2 linked regions of the Elephas maximus indicus genome follow. The protein of the gene in region 1 purifies or fractionates together with the protein of each later gene. This does not show direct contact. Links are inferred from orthologs where the notes say so. Each region holds a gene or a part of one and is shown on either strand. Other genes may lie near its edges.

The links.
Region 2: the proteins of SMC1A (region 1) and WAPL purify together in Homo sapiens (affinity purification with mass spectrometry; 7 studies listed by BioGRID and IntAct, with this or other methods). This does not show direct contact. The link is inferred for Elephas maximus indicus from reciprocal best matches to the Homo sapiens genes SMC1A and WAPL.

The regions. Positions count from the first base shown.
Region 1 is NC_064846.1:115,208,330-115,218,116, forward strand, and holds the start of SMC1A (structural maintenance of chromosomes protein 1A), read left to right. Parts: upstream 1-5,670; 5' UTR 5,671-5,767; coding exon 5,768-5,876; intron 5,877-9,787. UniProt on the Homo sapiens protein: Involved in chromosome cohesion during cell cycle and in DNA repair. Central component of cohesin complex. The cohesin complex is required for the cohesion of sister chromatids after DNA replication.
Region 2 is NC_064826.1:122,857,045-122,867,588, forward strand, and holds the start of WAPL (wings apart-like protein homolog), read left to right. Parts: upstream 1-6,180; 5' UTR 6,181-6,660; intron 6,661-9,752; 5' UTR 9,753-9,774; coding exon 9,775-10,273; intron 10,274-10,544. UniProt on the Homo sapiens protein: Regulator of sister chromatid cohesion in mitosis which negatively regulates cohesin association with chromatin. Involved in both sister chromatid cohesion during interphase and sister-chromatid resolution during early stages of mitosis.

The sequences.
Region 1 (9,787 bases):
AGAGAGTGATCAACTGATGATGGATTGAGATGAGGACTGAGAACTTGACTGATTTAGTAGCATGAGGGTTATTGACAGTGACAGAGCAATTTTGGTAGAGTGTGGCAATAAAAGCCTGAATGAAGTAGGTTCAAGAAACAACCCAGTTTATTAAAAAGAAATACAAGAGAAAAAGAGGAAGGGGGAAACTGTAGATTAAAAAGGACTTCTATATATACAGGTGGGAGAGTCTCTAGCATATACCTAGGAGTGGAAGTGCTGGATGGCAGGGTATATGCATACTTAACTTTACAAGATAATGCTAAATTGCATCAATACAATCATATTATATTGATATCAGTTTACAACAGTGTATAGAGTTCTGGTCACTCCACATCCTAACCAACACTTGGTTATCAGACTTCTTAATTTTTGCCAGTTGTGGGTATAAAATTATAATTATTGATTAATTGGAATTTTCCTTATTGCTAATGAGGTTGTACATATTTTCATGTGTTTTGGGGTATTTTTGTTTACTCTTCTGTGAAGTACTTATTCATATCTGTCCATTTAAAAAAAATCAGGTTGTTTGTCTCTTTCCTATTAATTTTAGGAATTCCTTACATATTCCACACACTAATCATTTCTTGATCATATGCTACCACCTGAAATGGCTGAACATGGACCATTTCATTCTGGTAGAGTAACTCTGTGTATTCCTTCCATCTTCTTTTGGTGCTTCCTGCATTGTTCAATGTTTTACCCATAGAGCCCTTCAAAATTGCAACTTGAGGCTTGAATTTTTTCTTCAGCTCTTTCAGCTTGAGAAATGGCAAGTGTGTTCTTCCCATTTGGTTTTCTAACTCCAGGTCTTTGCACATTTCATTATAATACTCTGTCTTCTTGAGCCATCCTTTGAAGTCTGTTCAGCTCTTTTACTTATTTCTTCCATTCGCTCTAGTTGCTTGCTGTACATTCAAGAGCAAGTTTCACAGTTTCTTCTGACATCCGTTTTGGCCTTTTCTTTCTTTCCTGTCTTTTTAATGACCTTTTGCCTTCTTAATATATGATGTCCTTGATGTCATGCCACAACGCCTCTGGTCTTTGGTCATTAGTGTTCAATGAGTCAAATCTATTCTTGAGATGGTCTCCAAATTAAGGTGGGATATACTCAAAGTCGTATTTTGGGTCTTACGGCCTAGTTTTAATTTTCTCCAGCTTCAACTTGAACTTGCTTATGAGCAATTGATGGTCTGTTCTGCAGTATGCCCCTGGCCTTGTTCTGACTGATGATATTGAGCTTTTCCATGTCTCTTTCCACAGGTGTAGTTGATTTGATTCCTGTGTTTTCCATCTGGTGAGGTCCACATGTATAGTAGCCGTTCATGTTGTTGAAAAAAGGTATTTGCAATGAATAAGCCATTGATTTTGCAAAATTCTGTTGTGCGATCTACAGCATTGTTTCTATTACCAAGGCCATATTTTCCAACTATCAATCTTTCTTCTTTGTTTCCAACTTTTGCATTCCAATAACCAGTAATCAGCATATGATCAACAACTGATAGTACTGAAGGAAGAAGTCCAAGCTGCACTGAAGGCACTGGTGAAAAACAAGGCTCCAAGAATTGACAGGATACCAATTGAGATGTTTCAACAAAGGGATGCAGTGCTGCAGGTGCTCACTTGTCTATGCCAAGAAATTTAGAAGACAGCTACCTGGCCAACTGACTGGAAGAGATCCATATTTGTGCCCATTCCAAAGAAAGGTGATCCAACAGAAGGTGGAAATTATCAAACAATATCATTGTTATGGATTGAATTCTGTCCCCTAAAAATGTCTGTCAACTTGGCTAGGTCATGATTCCCAGTATTGCATGATTGTTTACCATTTTGTCATCTGATGTGATTTCCCTATGTGTTATAAATCCTATCACTATGATGTAATGAGATGGATTAGCGGCAGTTATATTGATGAGATCTACAAGATTAGACAGTGTCTTAAGCCAATCTCTTTTGAGATATAAAAGAGAGAAGCAAAACTTTCATTTAAAGCACAATAAAAATTAAAAAAAAGAGAAGTAAGCAGTGAGACATGGGGACCTCATACCACGAAGAAAGCAGTGCCAGAAGCAGAGCATGTTCTCTGGACCTGAGGTTCCTGTGCTAAGATGCTCCCAGACCAAGGGAAGATTGATGAAAAGGAAGTTCCTCCAGAGCAGAGAGAGAGAAAGCCTTCCCCTGGAGCTGACGTCCCGAATTTGGACTTGTAGCCTACTAGACTGTGAGAGAATAAATTTCTCTTTGTTAAAACCATCTACTTGTGGTATTTCTGTTACAGCAGCACTAGAAGACCAAGACAATCATTAGTATCACATATAAGTAAAATTTTGCTGAACATAAAAAAACAATTGTAGCAGTACATCGGCAAGGAACTGCCAGAAATCCAAGTTGGATTCAGGAGAGGATGTGGAACGAGGGATATCAGATGAATCCTGGCTGACAGCAGAGAATGCCAGAAAGATGTTTACCTGAGGCAGTCGTTCAATCAGAACAAGGGGATACTGCATGATTTAAAGTCAGGAAAGGTGTACGTCAGGGTTGTATCCTTTCACCATACTTATTCAATCTGTATGCTGAGCAAATAATCCAAGAAGCTGGACTATATGAAGAATGGGGCAACAGGATTGAAGGAAGACTTATTAACAACCTGAGATATGCAGATGACACAACCTTGCTTGCTGTAAGCGAAGAGGACTTGAAGCACTTACCGATGAAGATCAAAGACTACAGCCTTCAGTATGGATTACACGTCAACATAAAGAAAACAAAAATCATCACAACTGGACCTTTAAGCAACATCATGATGGGTGGAGAAAATATTGAAGTTATCAAGGACTTCATCTTACTTGGGTCCACAATCAATGCCCATGGAAACAGCAGTCAAGAAATCAAACAACATATTACATTGGGCAAATCTGCAAAATACTTTTTAAAGTGTTGAAAAGCAAAGATGTCACTTTGAGGACTAAGGTATACCTACCTGACCCAAGCCATGATATTGTCAGTCACCTCATAGGCGTGGAAAAGCTGGACAATGAATAAGAAATACCGGAGAATTGATGCCTTTGAGTTATGGTGCTGGCAAAGAATACTGAATATACCATGGACTTCCAGAACGAACAAGTCTGTCTTAGAAGAAGCACAGCCAGAGTGCTCCTTGGAAGCAAGGATGGCAAGACTTCATCTCACATACTTTGAACATGTTATCAGGAGGGACCAGTCCCTGGAGAACGACATCACGCTTGGTAACACAGAGGGTCAGCAAAAAAGAGGAAGACCTTGACAAGATGGATTGACACAGTGGTTGCAACAATGGGCTCAATGTGCAGGACCGGGCAGTGTTTTATTCTGTTGCACATAGGGTTTCTGTGAGTCAGAACCAACTTGATGGCACCTAACAACAACAATCATTTCTTAATTTAAGTGCGGCAAATATCTTCTCCAAACGTGAGGCTTGTCTTTTCACTTTATTATTTTACAATGATTTTTATGGTATCAATTGATACATAGAAAGATATGGTTAACACACATGCAAGTTATGAAGCACAACAATAAAATGAACACCTGTGAACCCTCCATAGCACCCAGAGAATAGAACATTACCAGTACTTTTGAAGCTTTCTGTGTGCACTTGCTTATCTTTTTACTTTCTTTAAGATGTATTTTGAATGTAGTCAAATTACCACTTTTCCTTTAAGCTTAGTTGTTGTTGTGTGCCATCAAGTTGATTCCGACTCAGTAGTACTGACCCTTATATGACCGAGTAGAACTGCCCCATAGGGTTTCCTAGGCTGTAATCTTTATGGGAGCAGATTGCCAGGTCCTTTGTCCTGCAGAGTGGCTGATGGGTTCAAACCGCCAACCTTTTGGTTAGCAGCTGAGCACTTAAGCACTGCAACACCTTAGTAGTTTTTATATTTGGAGAAATCCCTCCTTACCCTGTGGTCATAAAGATATTCTCCTATATTTTCTTCTAAAATTTCTAAAGTTCTGCTTTTCTCATCTAAGTTTTTAGTCTATTTAGAACTGTATTTTGTGTATGGTGTGTGATAAGAACTTAATTTTTTCCCCTAGCTCCATCTCATCTTTTAGAGATGAAACTATAGTTCTCTATGAATTATGAGATTTCTGTCCTTTGGTCATTTTATCCCCTCAGCCTGCTCCTGCTTTTCCAAACTGAACTTCATTTATGGCTCCTCTATTAAATCCTGTCAACCAGGCTTTCTCACTTTCCTGAACTTGTCCTAAGTCTTTAGGACTCTTTCCAGCCTTCAGACATCTTTTTTTTTTAAAGTCACAGGAATGGCTATGGCAGCCACCCAACTCTTTTCATGTCTAAGCCTGAGAATGGCACCAACCCCAGCCCACCTGCTCCATCTGCCACCATAATCAATAAGTAATTCTGACTCATCCAGCCACTCGCAGATTCTAGGGGTTCTCCTAGGAGTCATACTTGGTAGGGAGGACAGACAAGGCCATCCTGAAGGGTAAAAGAAAATCTAAAAGCCTAGTTCCAGACACACAACTAAGTATTACTTCATGATATCTCATATAACTCTTTGTATACAATAGTCCATGTGTCTGGAATGCTGCCCTCCCATCCCCACCTGTCTCTGTCCACCTGGTAAGCTTCTTGTCATCCTCAGAGTCCAGCTCAAAAGTCATCATCTCTGATCCCAGACAAAGTAGAGGCCAAGAAGGTCCCTGAATACCAGGCTAAGGGCTCTAGGCTTTGTCCTGAGGGAAGCTATTGAAGGGTTTTAAGTGAGTGGATAACATATTCATATTAATATCTCTGGTGGCTGATGTAGAAGGATAGGAGGTAGCAACTCAAGGGGACAGGCTAGGGCCTCTCCTACCCAGACTGCAGGTCCCTAGTCAGGTGGGGAGCATTGATTTAGGGACCCTGATTCCTGGGGGTACTCAAAATACCTTTCTCGTCAAGGAGTCCCGGTGTTGAAGCTCCCAGGTTGGGTCTGGGTTCAAGTAGCCAACAAGTGGCTTAGGTCCAAGTCTGTTCTTGGGCTATGGTGGCAGTCTCAGAATTCTGCTTGGAGAACAGGAGGGAGGGAGGCAGGCGACAAAGGTTGTATCTCAGACCACAGGCTTCCCCAGCCTACAACCCTGTCGCCCGGAGTCCCCACAGTTTCCTTCACACTCCATCCCTCCTCCAACTCCACCCCACCCTCAGCAAAGTCTGAGCTCACCTAACAACGATCTTCCCGCCGGTCCCTCCTTCCCGTCAGCCCTCGGCTCCCCGGTGTCCTTCTAATTCCCGATCCCTTGTCCGAGCCCTCTAGCTGGCCAGGCTAAAGCCAGAGCCGAGCTCCCATTTTCCTCTTGCCCTGCGGGGCCTAACCTGCTGCGACTTCTGATTTTCAGAAACAGTGGGCTCTAGTCTCGCCAGACCTCCCGACACCGCCTCCTCAAGGATACATTCGGCTGCAGCAGCGGTTTGTGTTGCCAAGGCAACAGTAAAGAGCGGTGGGGCTCAAATGCCTGTCGTAAGCCCGCGCCCCGGCAACGGATCCACAAAACTTCCACGCTAAACCGAAGGCCCCGCCCCGTGGTCTCGCTCGCTACGGACACCGGAAATCCCGTTGGGTTGGACTCATTCTCGCGAGACTTGCCGTCCACCCGGCTTGCACTGCGGTGTTTCCCGCGCGGGCTACCGAGTTCTAGGGCGTACGGCGCGGCCTCTCGTACCGCTGCCGGCGCCTTCGGCGTCATGGGTTTCCTGAAACTGATTGAGATCGAGAACTTTAAGTCGTATAAGGGGCGACAGATCATCGGACCATTTCAGAGGTTCACAGCCATCATTGGACCTAATGGCTCTGGTGAGATAAACCTGGCCGCGGCCTCGCGCACGTCCCGGCCTGGACCCCCTGTCCGGCGACAGAGTAGTACAACCCAGCCAATGCCACCTGAAAAGTCGCGAACCCTAACGTGCTCTTTGCCCCTTCTGAAGGGGTTCGGTCCGAACCTGCTCTCTCTACTCGGGTGCTCTTACTCGAACCTCTTCCCCAGGCGTCAGTTGTCCGTACTTTGTGCGGTCCCCGCTCGGGTCCGAGTGGTACGGGCCGAACTGTACGTTGCCCCGCCCACCACCCCTCCCGCCAAAAGTGGCGCGTCCCCAGTTGGCCGCCAGCCGCTGACCCCACCGGACCCTCTCGATCTGGCTCCTCCCGCCTTACTTGACCTTTCCGGAAGTCGTGGGATGGCTGGTATCCTTCCTGTGGCCTCTGGGGCCCAAACGGTACACTTCTGCCTCAGCTCAGCGCCCCCTCCCGCCTCGCATCAATTCCCCTTTTTTTACTCTTCTCCCAAGGCGGCACTTTTGAATCTTGGACCCAGCGTTTGAGTCTCCAGGGTGCTTTGGGTCTCGATCCCCTCCCCCTGACACACACCTTATGACGCCGTCAAAAGCCAGAACTCACTCATCAAATGTTCATTGAATGCGTACAGTTTATTGGGAGCTGTTCAAGGTGCTGTGGAAACAGAGTAGAATAAGCGAACTCTATATATACTTTCAGGGGACTTAGATTCCAGGGGGGAAAGATGATAATAAAGGAGAAAATAGGATAATTTTAGGTTGTAATAAGTGCTGTGAAGGAAATAGAACAAGTTGATGTGATAGAGGAACGTGTGTATCTTTGGAAAGGGTGGTAATATAAGGCGACTGTTTCATGTCTTAATTCCCCGTCTCTAAATTATACACCATGGTTCTTCCTACCTACCCTCAGAAGTGGTCCATTTGGAATTCTGCTGTGTGCCTCCACCCCAGAGATGTTCTAGCTGAATCATTTCCTAACCTGAGAGGCTGCCCTTGCTGAAGTACTGTAGTTCATACTGAATACCTTCCTTGGAGTCTTGCCTGGGTGTGGCTGTCTGCCTAAAAAACCCAAAAACCAAACCCACTGCCGTCGAGTCGATTCCGACTCATAACGACCCTATAGGACAGAGTAGAACTGCCCCACAGTTTCCAAGGTGCGCCTGGTGGATTTGAACTGCCAACCTTTTGGTTAGCAGCTGTAGCTCTTAACCACTACGCCACCAGGGTTTCCGCTGTCTGCCTAGAGCAAGGTTTTTCAACAGCAATGTTACTGACATTTTGGGCAGGATAATTGTGGGGATGTTCTTATACACAGAAGGATTTTTGGCAGCATCCCTGACTTCTACCCACAAGATGACAGTAGCACCCCCACTCTCCAGGTGTGACAACTGAAAATGTCTTCAGACATTGCCAAATGTCCTCTGGGGGCCAAAACCACTCCCCCCTCTTCCTGAAACACTGGGCTAAAGTGTTTTACCCCAGTTTCTTAGAGTTTTAGTGCGGTGACCCCTGTGGAAAGAGCCAAGGTGTACCTCTTACATTCAGTTCCCTCAGCACTGGTAGATTTGTATACCCAGCTGTTCAGAAAAGCCATTATCCTTAATTCCCCCTTCCCCATTCTTCAAGGCCGATCTCCACAAGACATTTTTTGATTCTCCTCAGTCAGTGATTCCTCTTCCTCTCTGGCACAAATAGTAGACACTTGGTACACATTAATGTTTATTTTTTTTGTCTTGTATTCATGGCATTTTGTTTTCATATCTTTATCACTGGTCTATAAGTGTTCCAAAGAAGACATTCCTTGAAATGTTTTACCTTTGTTAACTTTGTTACCCGAGTGCCCATCTTATAACACATGTTGTGAAAATGTTTACAATATTGAATGATTCTAAGTAGAGAGAGACCTCTGGTTGTAAGATGTTCCTGTTATCCCTGGGAAGCAGTAGAGAAGCCCAAAGTTTAGAAATTGGTACCTAAATGACTGACTCTTGGTCTGTGTGATATGCTAATCCTGCTCTGATGAGGGAGACAGAGCTAAGAGTTATGACCTATGTTAGGATAAAAAAAATTAGGATAGTACTGCCACTTATTGAGTACCTACTATGTGTCAAGTACTTTATTTATTGGGATTTTTACATTTAATTTCTCACAGTGAGATACCATTATCCCCATTTTATACATGAGGAGACTGAGGCACAAAGAGGTGTGATAACTTGCCTTTGGTCCTCAGAGCGAAGATCAGAAGCCATTCCTGTCATACTTCAAAGCCTATGCTCCTTCCATTCCAACAGAGCAATATGTGCCAAGCTGTGTTTTAGATGTTTCACCCATGAGTCATGTTTTTTCATATTTTCCAGGTGAGAGAATGGAAGGTTACAGATACTGTGCCATTTGCCCAGGGTCACACAGCTAAGACGTAGTGAAACTAAGATTAGGGCTTGGTCTATTGGACTTGAGTCCAAGCTCTTTTTTTTTATAATATTTTATTGTGTTTTTGGCGAAACTTTACATAGCAAATTAGGTTCCTATTTAACAATTTCTGCATACATTGTTCGGTGACGTTGGTTATATTTTTCACAATGTGTCAACATTCTTATTATTTCTGTTCTGATAGTTCTGTTTCCAGAAATCTAGTTTCCCTGCCCCCTTAACTTTTCATTTTTGCTTTTGAGTAAACGTTGACTCTTTGGTCTCATAAAGATGATTTTTTAAAGGAGCACAACATTCATGGGTGATATTCTTTATTTTATGAGCCAATCTGTTCAGCTGAAAGGTGACCTCTGGGAGTAGTTTTGGTTCTAAGTTTAAGGGCATCTAAGGGTGATAGTCTTGAGGGGTCCTCTCATCTCGACTGGTCCAGTAAGTCCGGACTTTTTAAGAATATGAGTTCTGTTCTACGTTTTTCTCCCTTTCTGTCAGGATCCATCTGTTGTGTCCTTGATCAGAGCAGCTGGTAGTGGTAGCTGGGCACCATCTAGTTCTGGTATCGGGGTAGATGAGGCTGTGGTTCATATAGACTATTAGTCCTGTAGACTAGTTTCTTCTCTGAGTCTTTTGTTTCCTTCTTTCTCTTTTGCTCCAGATAAGTAGAGACCTGTAGTTGGCTGCTTGCAAGCTTTTAAGACCCTAGACAATACTCACCAAACTAGGATGTAGAACATGAACTTTATTATGCCAGTTGACCGAATTGTCCCACAACACTATGATCCTAAGCCTTCAAACCCAGTAAACCAGTCCCATGAGGTATTCGCTTATGTCTAAGAAGTGTCTGTAACTGTGCTCCCTGTACACTTTATTATATATATGAATACATACACGTGTACATATACATGTATATACATATGCATATAGCTGTGTACACCTGTGCATGCATGTATTATATACCCACATATGCCTACCTATACATGTATATGCATATGTACGTATATATGTAACCACACTTACAATTTTTGGTTGTTGCAAAATTCTGTATGTCATTACATTTACCAAAAACATCCTTTATTCTTGTGTACTTCTTAGTGACATCATTTACCTTGGTCAAGTTGTGCACCCTTCACCCGTATTTACTGTTACCTTTTCCATCACCAAAAGTAACAAATAACAAGTGTCTAGTATCCAGAGAATGATTCCCCCTCCCTTCTCCACCCATCCCTGGTAAACACCAATGAAAGTTGGTGTCTGGATATATACCTATTCTTGTCTTTTTATAAGAGTAAGATCATACAATATTTGTCCTTCTGTGATTGACTTATTTCACTCAGCATAATGTTCCCCAGATTCATCCATGTTACAATGTTTTTAGAACTCATAATTATTCTTTGTGGCTGCATAGTATTCCCTTGTATGTATGTACCACATTTTGCTTAGCTATTCATCCATTGATGGGCACTTAGGTTGTTTCCACCTTTTTGCTAC
Region 2 (10,544 bases), on another chromosome or scaffold:
CCTAATAAACCACGTAACTGTATGGTCTGTGAGTTGTGTGGCCACTGCAAAAAATTATCAAACCCAGCAGAGAAATAAGAGTGCTGTGGGGGGAATGGCTGGTGTCAGACACCGTGAAGAAGTCGGGAAAGTGGATCTATGTATAATCTCCACCCCGTAGGAATCAGCTTTGTGCTGATCCTGATTGTTATTCCTCATGAATTTAGATAATTCACTATGGTAGACTACATCAGGTCTTTCCTCTGCAGAGCTGCTAGGTAGGTTCAAACTGCTAACGTTCCCGGTATCAGCTGAGCGCTTAACTGTTTGCACCACCAGGGCACCTTGCTGCGCATATAGTAGTGAACAAAAGTCAACCCCTGTCCTCATGGAGTTTATATTCTAGTGGACTGATAATACGTAAAACAAACATGATGGCTACTATGGAGAAAAACAGCAGAGAGAGGGGATACAGAGTGCTGGCATGGCACGCTGAGGGTTTTAACTTAAGCAGCATGGTCAGGGAAGGCACTACTGAGAAGACACTTGAGCAAAGACCTGAGGAGGCGAGGGAGTGAGCCATGTGCCTATCTTGAGGATAGCAAGGGAACAGCAAGTTCAAAGGCCCTGAAGCAGCAGCTGGCTTGGCATGTTCTAGTAGAAGACAGAGGCAAGCTTGGCAAGAAGGGAAAGGATAGGAGTAGGCAGGGGCCAGGTAACACAGGGCCTTGTAGGCCATGGTAATGATTTTAGATTTTAGTCTTGGTGATGGGAAGACCCTGGAGGGTTTCTGATCAGGAGAGGTATCACAGAACAGTAGGGGTGAGGACCCCACGGAGAAGAGGGCTGTCTCCAGAGGCAGGGGTCAGGTCACGAGAATTCTAAGAGTTGCTGGGTACCAATCCTTGTCAAGCAACACGTCCCCAGGGAAAGTTTCCCTTGCTTTGTCTTTCAACTACTCAGCAGTTTATTCCCCAAAGGATGTTACCATCTCTGGAGAACATATTCCAATTATCCTTGAAAACAAGGTAATTGGGATTATAGTAGTATTCACATTCTCAGTTCTCAGAATGAAAACCTATCCAAGGCCAGAACAAAAGGTAACTCCTGAAAGCGTCCCCTTCCTATTGGGAAAACCCAGTCAGCAACCATTCATGGAGCCACTAAGCTACTGGAAGCTATTGCTAGTGATTTTAAGGTCACTTTCTTTCTAAGACATAATCTTACGCAAGAGAAGGACGTAAGTGGGGGTATTTATTCAACAAATATTTACTGAGGTTCACTTTGTGCCAGGTGCTGTTCTAGGTGTTAGGGGTGCAACAGTAAATAAGACAAAGAGCACTTCCTCACGGGGAAGAGAAATACAGAAGATAAATATAACAAATATGTGATAGGTTTGATGGGGGAGATAAGTGGCCCCGAGAAAAATAAAGCACAAACAGAGAACACTTGGGATTGACAGTGTTGCAATTTACAACAAGCTGGTCAGGGGGAGAGTCACTGAGAAGCTCCATTTGGGTAAAGACCTAAAGGAGTGAGGGAGCTGAGGGAAACTTGTTGTAGAAGAGGTCCTGACAAGTGCAAAGGGCCTGAGGTGGGAACATATGCCCGGCAATTTTGTGAAACAGCAAGGAGATCATGCAGGGCCTTGCCACACAACCAGTACAATGAATAACTGTACAGTTCATAACTGTATTCCACATTCTATCACAAGGGAAAATTCACTGTAGGCAATGTAGTAGTCTCTGACACCAGGTTCCCTGAACCGAATTCTCTTAAGTTGTAATACATTTTACCACATATTATCAGAAAAGGCCTTATTAGAAACTCCAGGTCTGACAGTTCATGCCCATGCCTTGCTAAAAGGGGTGCAGCAATAGCAGAACAGTTTTCTTTGCAGGATTTTCTTAAACACTCAGCCAAAGGAAGTACTAGCCCACCCCTGTGCAGCCCAAGGTAATGGGGTTCTGCCCTCCTCCAGGTAGCACAGGAGGATGTCCTGTGCCACCGAAGGGTACAAACAACACGGCTCACGTCAATATTTTCAGTTTTGGGCATACATATGACATTTCATAATAAAGAAAAATCAGAGAACTTGCATAAAACAACAAAGAAAAACAGCTGCTGTCGACTCCAACTTATGGCGACACCACGTGTATCAGAGAAGGGCTATGCTCCATAGGGTTTTTAAATGACTGATTTTTCAGCAGCAGATCACCAGGCTTTTCTTCCAAGATGCCTCAGGGTAGATTCAAACCACCAACCTCCTGGTTAGCAGTTGAGTGCGTTAACAGCTTGTACTACCCAGGGACTCCAGGGCTTGCATAGAGGCATTCTATTTTAACAAAGTACCTATTGTCTACCTGGTGTATGTGTGTAGCAGACTGAGAACCATTCTAGGGCTACAGGGTGTGAGTGAGGGGGGTGCTGGTTATGAACTAAAACCTATTGCTGTCAAGTGCATTTTGACTTACAGCAATCCTACAGGACAGAGTAGAACTGCCCCCTAGTTTCCAAGGAGTGGCTGGTAGATTTGAACTCCTGACCTTTTGGCTAGCAGTTATGAACTAAACGAACCAAGAAAACAAAAAACAGCTCACCCTGGCGTAGAACTCGGGGCCATGGCAAAGGAATGGAATGCGGCCTCCGAGGGCATTTGTCTGCCTCAGTGGAACCAGGGAGATAAAGGGTAGATACCTCTAACCACTCAAAGGAAACTGAACTCCAGATTTCAAGGTGGCGGTACAGGCTGAAGGCCCAGGGACCCTGAATTTCCTTCAAGGAGGGGCCCTAGAGTGAGCAGGCTCTCCACCTGTCTTTAGTGTGGGGCACCTGAGAGTAGAGAGCAATAGCACAGCTCTGTTCAATATTCATATACTAAATAGGGGGTCAGTGAAAAAAGAGGAAGTCCCTTAATGAGATGGATTAACACAGTGATTGCAACAACAGGCTCAAAACACAGCAAAGACTGTGAGGATAGCGCAGGACTTGTCGACATTTCGTTCTGTTACACACAGGGTCACTGTGAGTCAAAACCGACTCCATGGGACCTGATAACAAGCTTCCATAGATTAAACACATACACCTACAGACATAGTTTTTTACTTTCTAAATCCTGTACTACTTTCTACCAGATTCAAGATTATCTATAAGTAATGAGTACCCAATGCTTAAATATGTTTGATTCCTCCTATAGTTGCAGTGTCTTCAGCAAATGCCAAACCTTCCATTCCTCACCTGTTAAGACAAAGACAAAAGGCTGGGATACCAGCTAAGTCCCTGAAGAGCCTAGGATTGTTCCTCACAAAGACTAGGTTCTTGACATTTACCCTTCCCCTCCTAAGAAAAATGTTAGATTGGGGTCAAATGTTATAGGTATGCTTTAAGTCAGTGCCTGCCAAAATTCAACGTGTGGACCAGTCGCTGGGGGGAAACTTGTTAAAGTGAAGATTCTGATCCAATGGAGTCGGGGCTGGGATGGGAAATATGCCTTTCCAACAAGCTTCTATCCTATGCTTCTGCTGCTGACCAAGGACCACTCTTTGAAAAGCTGGAATTTTTGTCTTTTATTAGCATTAAAAATTTTTTTTTTATTGTGCTTTAAGTGAAAGTTTACAAGTCAGTCTCTCATACAAAAATTTATATACACGTTGCTATATACTTCTAGTTACTCTCCCCCAATGAGACAGCACAGTCCTTCTTTCCACCTTCTTTCTGTGTCCATTCAGCCAGCTTCTGACACCCTCTGCCCTCTCACCTCCCCTCCAGACAGGAGCTGCCCATATAGTCTCCTGTGTCTACTTGACCCAAGAAGCTCAGTCCTCATCAGTATCATTTTCTATCCTAGAGTCCACTCCAATCCCTGTCTGAAGAGTTGGCTTTGGGAATTGTTCCTGTCTTGGGCTAACAGAAGGTCTGGGGACCATGACCTCCGGGGTCCTTCTAGTCTCAGTCAGACCATTAAGTCAGGCCCTTTTACCAGAATTTGAGGTCTGCATCCAACTGCTTTCCTGCTCCCTCAGGGGTTATCTGTTGTGTCCCCTGTCAGGGCATGAGTAGCGGGAATTTAACAATACAAAGTTCCATTATTGGAAACCCTGGTGGTACAGTGGTTAAGAGTTCGCCTGTTAACCAAAAGGTCAGCAGTTCAAATCCACCAGATGCTCCTTGGAAACCCTATGAGGCAGTTCTACCCTGTCCTACCGGGTCGCTATGAGTTGGAATTGACTCCACGGCAATGGGTTTGGAAGTTCCATTATTAACACAACCACCACACAAACAGTTCTGGTGGAGACCTTACCTGTTTTGTGGGATAACAAGAGCTCCAAGGACAATTTCTTTAACTAAATTCTTTCACTTCAGCATACTTCAGTCACTAACCTACTCAACTGCCCAGCCCCGCGGAGGCCAGGGCATAACGAATACATCCTTTGGTCTCAGGGTTCACAGCATTCTCCTACAGGAAAACCTTGCAATTGTCTCTCTGGCCACTTTGGGCTTTTTGATCATAGCTTTTGCCTCTGCTGATAATTACTCCCTAATTAGCACCCTCTACTGTGTTTTTACTGTGTCATCTAAATAATTATAGGAAGTAAAACCTGCGCCGCTGCCTGCAATTCTCAAACTGATAAAACAAGATCCTACCCTGGTTTTTCAAAAAACACAAAACTGATCCAACTGAAAATCATGTTGGTACAACCCTCAGTGGAATACACAGACGACTGGTAACTTCCATTAACGTAAAAGACAGAAGAGTTGATTTCTTTCACAACGAGAAAATACTTATATAGCGGTTGGAAAACTGTAAATGTCAAAATATAAAATTTGCAAGCAGTCACGTCCAAATAAAACAATCCAACCATGCTAAAATCCACCTTACATTCCTATTGGGAAGAGCAGCAAGGTCTCTGAACTACTTTTTCAGGGTTTGCCCAATATATCGGAGAGAGCTTGGTAACTTACAGGTGCATTCAAAGCAAATTATTCATTTGTGGAAGAAAGACAGGCGTTTCACTGGAAGCAATTACGGTAGTACTTTCCCCATTTCCCAGGTGTGTCTATCAACAGCCTTCCGAACAGCAGGGTCGTCAGAGCCTGATGAATCATGCATCTCTATTAGGACGAGCCCATTGTGCTACTCTTTGGAACGGTGTTTTCCCACTGCGGCCTTTTAAAAACAACTTTCCAATTTTCTTAATAGGTAATGCTGACAAGGAAAAAAAACCTTAAACAGCACAAAAGGATGTGCAGCGAAAAATAAGTCTTCCTTCACCCCCTCATTCCCCTACTTCCCCAGAGACAATCACTGGTTCAGTTCTTTAAACTTTTTACTACAAAAAATTGCAGATACACAGACTGGTATAAGGAGCCCGCGTGTGACGCATCACGCAGCCTCCACAATGGAAAACATCCCGCCGTCCTGTATTATTCCCCCTCCCCCGGCTTTTTGCTGGAGTATTTTAAAGTAAATCTAAGGCACCAGATCATTTTACCTGTCAAAAATTCAGTACGTGAATTTAAAAATGGGGGGGGGGACCACATTACCATTATCACGTCCAACAAGATTGCCCATGGCTCCTTAATACCACCCAGTAACCCCGGGGTCATTTTAACCCGAGGGAGTGGGACGGCCAGGAAACTACGAGAGTCAGGTCTGCGGAGCCGGACGGTGGCGCATGAAGGCGCCGGGGCTGAGATGACCGTGGCAGTCGAGCGCCCAGCGCCCGGGCCTCCCGCAGCGCCGTCATTACCTGCGCCGGGCCCGCACAGGCCAGGCCGGGCCGAAGGCTGCTGGAGCCGCGAGCTCCCTGCCTCCCCTCTCCCGGGCGGTGGCCCCAGCAAGCCCGGCGCAGCTGCACAATCCACTGTCCCCAGACACCGGCGGGTCCCAGGAGGGGAAACGATTGACACAGCTGCCTGCACCGCGCCCCCGGCCCTCCCCCGGGGCACCTGCGTCTCCCGGCGGGCCCGGGAGCTGGAACCGGCTCCCGAGCCGGGACGGGCCAGGCCCGCGGCGACCGCTCCACCCACCGCCCACTCCCGCGCCGGGCTCTCGACACTGCGATTCGCGGACCGGGACTACAACTCCCGTCGGGCCCCGCGCCCGAGCCAATGGCGGGCCCCGGAGCATGCGTGTCGCGGCGCCTGCGCGGCAGTTTGAGTAAGCGGCCGCTCGATTGGCTGCGGGGTCGGGCGGCCGCGCGGGGCCTGTGGGAAGCGGAGTGACGGAGCGAGCGGCTGTTGGAGGAAGGAGGTGGGGGCCGGGAGCGCAAATGGCGTTGAGATGGTTCAGGGCCCTGTTCAAACTCCAGCGCTGACCATTCACCGGCGGAAGCGGCGGCGCAGGAGGCGGTGGCGGCCCAGCAGGGGCACGTAGCGGGCTCCGGTACCGGCTCCGGCGGCGGCGAGGCCAGGGAGGCCTAGGCCCGGGCCCGGCCGGCGGCGGTCAAGGCGGGGAGGGAAGTTGCGGGGTCTCCGCTGCCCCCCCGCCCGGTTTCCTATTTACCGAGAGCGGAGCGGCAGGTTTTGACGGTGGCAGATCCCCCTTCCTCACCCCCTTCCTCTCTTCGCTCACCGGCCGGCCCTGCGCTCACGCGCGGGGCTCCCGCGCCCGCCCGTGGGCCGTTGGGAGCGGGAGAGGCGGAGGCGACCCGAGGCCAAAGCACCCGCCAGGCGCCGAGGGTAAGTGAGGTTTCGGGCGGCTGCCTAGGCCGGGAGCGAGCCTGGGAGGGTGGGGGACGCCGGGGCGGCGAGAGTCTCGCTACCTCACCCGCCGTGTCTCTGAGGAAGTTGGGCAGGGGAACAAACTGCACAACTCTTTTTTTCCTTTTTTTCTCATTTTTTTCCCGGCAGCTGCTGATTTACTTCCCTCGGTATACCTGGTCGAGTGTGTAGGTTTCAGCTCTAAGACCTTTCCCGTCTTTTTCTCCACTGAGGAGACGGCCACTGAGGCCTTTACACTGTCCTAGGGATTTGGTGGCAGAGGCTTCCGGGGCGTTGGAAACTACATCCCTTTCCTGGGCGGTCAGGGTAGGAAGGGTCGAAAAGTTGCTTGAGTTTCCAGCCGCAGGGGCCCCCTCTCCCATTACCGTCCTCCGCACCGTTCGCCTCCAGGTGAGGATTTCTGAGTGGTTAGGTTTGCCCCTTTCGACTTTCCTTTTTTTTTATGGAAGCTCCTAAGCCGGACAGACGCTAGATATGGTCGGTGGCTAAGTGTGAGGACTCTGTCTCAGCTCGTTTCCCTGAAAATTTGACCTGCCTTTGGGCTGAGGCAAAGGCCCAATGACCGAAAAAACTTAACTGTGCATCATTCTTTCCTTTTTAGTTAGGGTAGTCTTTGGAGTTTGAAGCCTGAACAAGATAGTCTGTGTACTTGAGGCCCCACTTAAAACACGTCCAGTACGTCTGCGTGCTGGTGTTTTAATTTATACATGTTTTACACTTTATGCTTAGAGACAGCCACTGCAATAGTCTGTTTACTGACTTTTAAGAAAACTTTTTTTTAATGGAAAATTATAAAGGAAATAAAAAATAGGGGTTTTATATAATGAACTCTTTTGTACCCGTCGCTCGGTTTCAACACGTTAACTTTTAATCAAATTTGTTTCACCTACACAGGTTCCATTCTGCACACCGTAGCGTTAAGGAAAAAAAACGCTGAGACTTCATCAAGAAGTATTTTAGTATTTACTTGTTAAAAGACGTGGACTCTTTCGAAAAATATAGGCTCAGTATTATTATCATTTAGCCAAAAGCCAAACCCGTTGCAGTCCAGTCGATTCTAACTCGTAGGGACCCTATAAGACAGAGTAGAACTGCCGCATAGTGCTTCCAAGGAGTGGCTGGTGCGTTTGAACTACCAACCCTTTGGTTTGCAGCCATAGCTCTTAACCACTGCGCCACCAGGGCTCCATTATCACTTTTAAAATAATTAACCATTCATTTGTATCAAATGCCAATGTATGAAGTCTATTGCTAGACTTTAATTTTCAACAGTGAATCTTTTGTGGTTCTAAGTGCATTTTTATAATGATTTTTTCTTGTGTGGGCTTAAAGGAGCTCAAGTCTAAATTTTTGGTTTGGCCCTTCAGTCTGCATTTTTAGGTGATTACTGCATAAGTGTATCCAAAACATTCTAGGGTTGTTGTTGTGTTCTAAATGCAGGTCTGCAGATCAGGGCTTTATGTTCTTGAAGGAATAAGGAGAAAAAATGACTATTTTTCTGGTCTATGGTAGCTCCCCAACGTGCTTAGTTTTGTTTAGAATGTAAGTAACAGGAAAGATACAAGATTCTTTATCGTAAATCTGTAGTACAAGGAGAAATCGATCTTCTCAGGAAAAAGTTTTATGACATGTTAGGAAGTTTTTAGATAAATTACCAATTATTTTAAGACAGATGTGTATGATGACCAAATTAATCGTTATTGTGTCAAGTTATAATCATGGGAGGCAGGAATGTTCTACTTAATATATATAACTAAGTTGGACAGTGATGAGTCACTATAAAATGTCTTTAAAGCATAGGCCGTATATCATTAAAATTGTTCTAAGTTTCAAAGTAATGAAGATTTTCAAGTCTGGAGGCAGCTGCTCACTTTTTTCCTTGTTATATTGGTATTTGGAAACCCTGATGGCGTAGTGGTTAAGTGCTGTGGCTGCTCAACAAAAGGTTGGTGGTTCAAATCCACCAGGCGCTCCTTGGAAACTCTATGGGGACAGTTCTACTCTGTCCTGTAGGGTCGCTATGAATCGGAATCGACTCGCCGGCAGAGGGTTTGGTTTGTTTTGGTTTATATTAGTATCTAAACTTCACAAGGGCAAAGTGTAAGAAATCGATAAGAAGTATTTAAAAATAACGTAATTTGCTTTTTAAAAATGTTTGATTCTTGACTTACTGTCCTGACAATTTTTTTTTCCTTCCTAGTATCTGTTGTTGTTATAAAGATAAATCAATTTGTCCCTTATAAAGGTAGTAGGAAAAATAAAGATAATGTGTTTGTATTGCTTTGCTTGATAATCCACGGAACAACGTAGTACGCTAGATTTCACCAGCCCCAGAATATATAACTCGGCAAATGAGCACAGCGCTATGGGGACAAGGAAGATAGAATAAGGATGGTTTCTTGCACTCTGGGACATGACCACCTAAGCAATAGTTTTCAAGTCACTGTCCGAATTACATTAGACCAAGAATCAGAATCTTCAAGTTTGGGTTAAAAGATGCAGGTTGTAATACATAAGAACACTGCACCAAATTCTGGCTTTCTTTTCTGCTGTGAATAAGTGCTCTGAAATTTCAAGAAAACTAAACTTAGTCGAGTATTTAACGTTTCTGAGATGCTAACAAAAAAAAATTTTGTTCTACCTAAGATTTTATATTAGGGTAATTACCCTATTTAGAGTACATTTTTAAGGGTAAACTTGATGTTTGTACAAATAGTAAATAGTTCATTTAGAACACAGATGTTTCACTATAAGTAAGTTTTGTGGATGCTATCTTATAAATTGGCTGGTCATGCCTTTTTTACTTTGTAAGTAGTGTATGAGTATGTACTCATCGTTAAAAAAAAATTGAATTGGCGTATGGAAGTATATGGAGTAAAAATGAGCCTCTTTACACCCTTTCCCAGTATTTTTTAAACCGTTTTTAAAGGCTTGTATCTTGTCCTGAATGTTGAAAGTAAGATGGGGAGAATCTGTAAGTTCTTATTTTTATATTTGGTATTAGTTACTTGGAGGTTATATATATGTATGTTTTTTTTTTTTTTTTACAGGGAATATGAAACAGGTGTCAAAATGACATCCAGATTTGGGAAAACATACAGTAGGAAAGGAGGAAATGGCAGTTCAAAGTTCGATGAAGTCTTTTCCAACAAACGGACTACCCTTAGCACAAAATGGGGAGAGACCACATTTATGGCTAAATTAGGGCAGAAGAGGCCCAATTTCAAACCAGATATCCAGGAAATCCCAAAGAAACCTAAGTTGGAAGAAGAAAATACTGGGGATCCTTTTGGATTTGATAGTGACGATGAGTCTCTACCAGTTTCTTCAAAGAATTTAGCCCAGGGTAAGGGTTCCTCTTATTCAGAATCTAGTGAAGCTGCTCAGCTGGAAGACGTCACGTCTGTACTTGAAACTAATAGCAAAATTAGTCATCCAGTGGGTGAAGACAGTGTTGAATCTGATAAATGCTTACCTTTGGAAGATATTCTGGTTGGAAAAGAAAAGAGCACAAACCATATCTTTGAAGGTGACGCAAGCAAAAGTAGCTGTGCTAAATTAATAAGTTCAGGTAAGTTTGGATTTTCTTTATCTTGATCCATGTAGCATCATGCAAGCCATTTAGTTAAATGGTTTAAATTCAGAAATATTAAAACTCTTGGATTTTGTTTCTACACTTAAGATTATTGGAGACTGTTGACAATTTTGTAAAGGAAATTTAAGAACTTAAACCAGTTGGAGGTTGGAATTTTATTTAAACAATTTGGACTAGATGTTCTAGACTGTTTTTCCGGGTACATTTGGGGAACAGTCATTCATAAATCCCTGATTCCAGTTCCAAC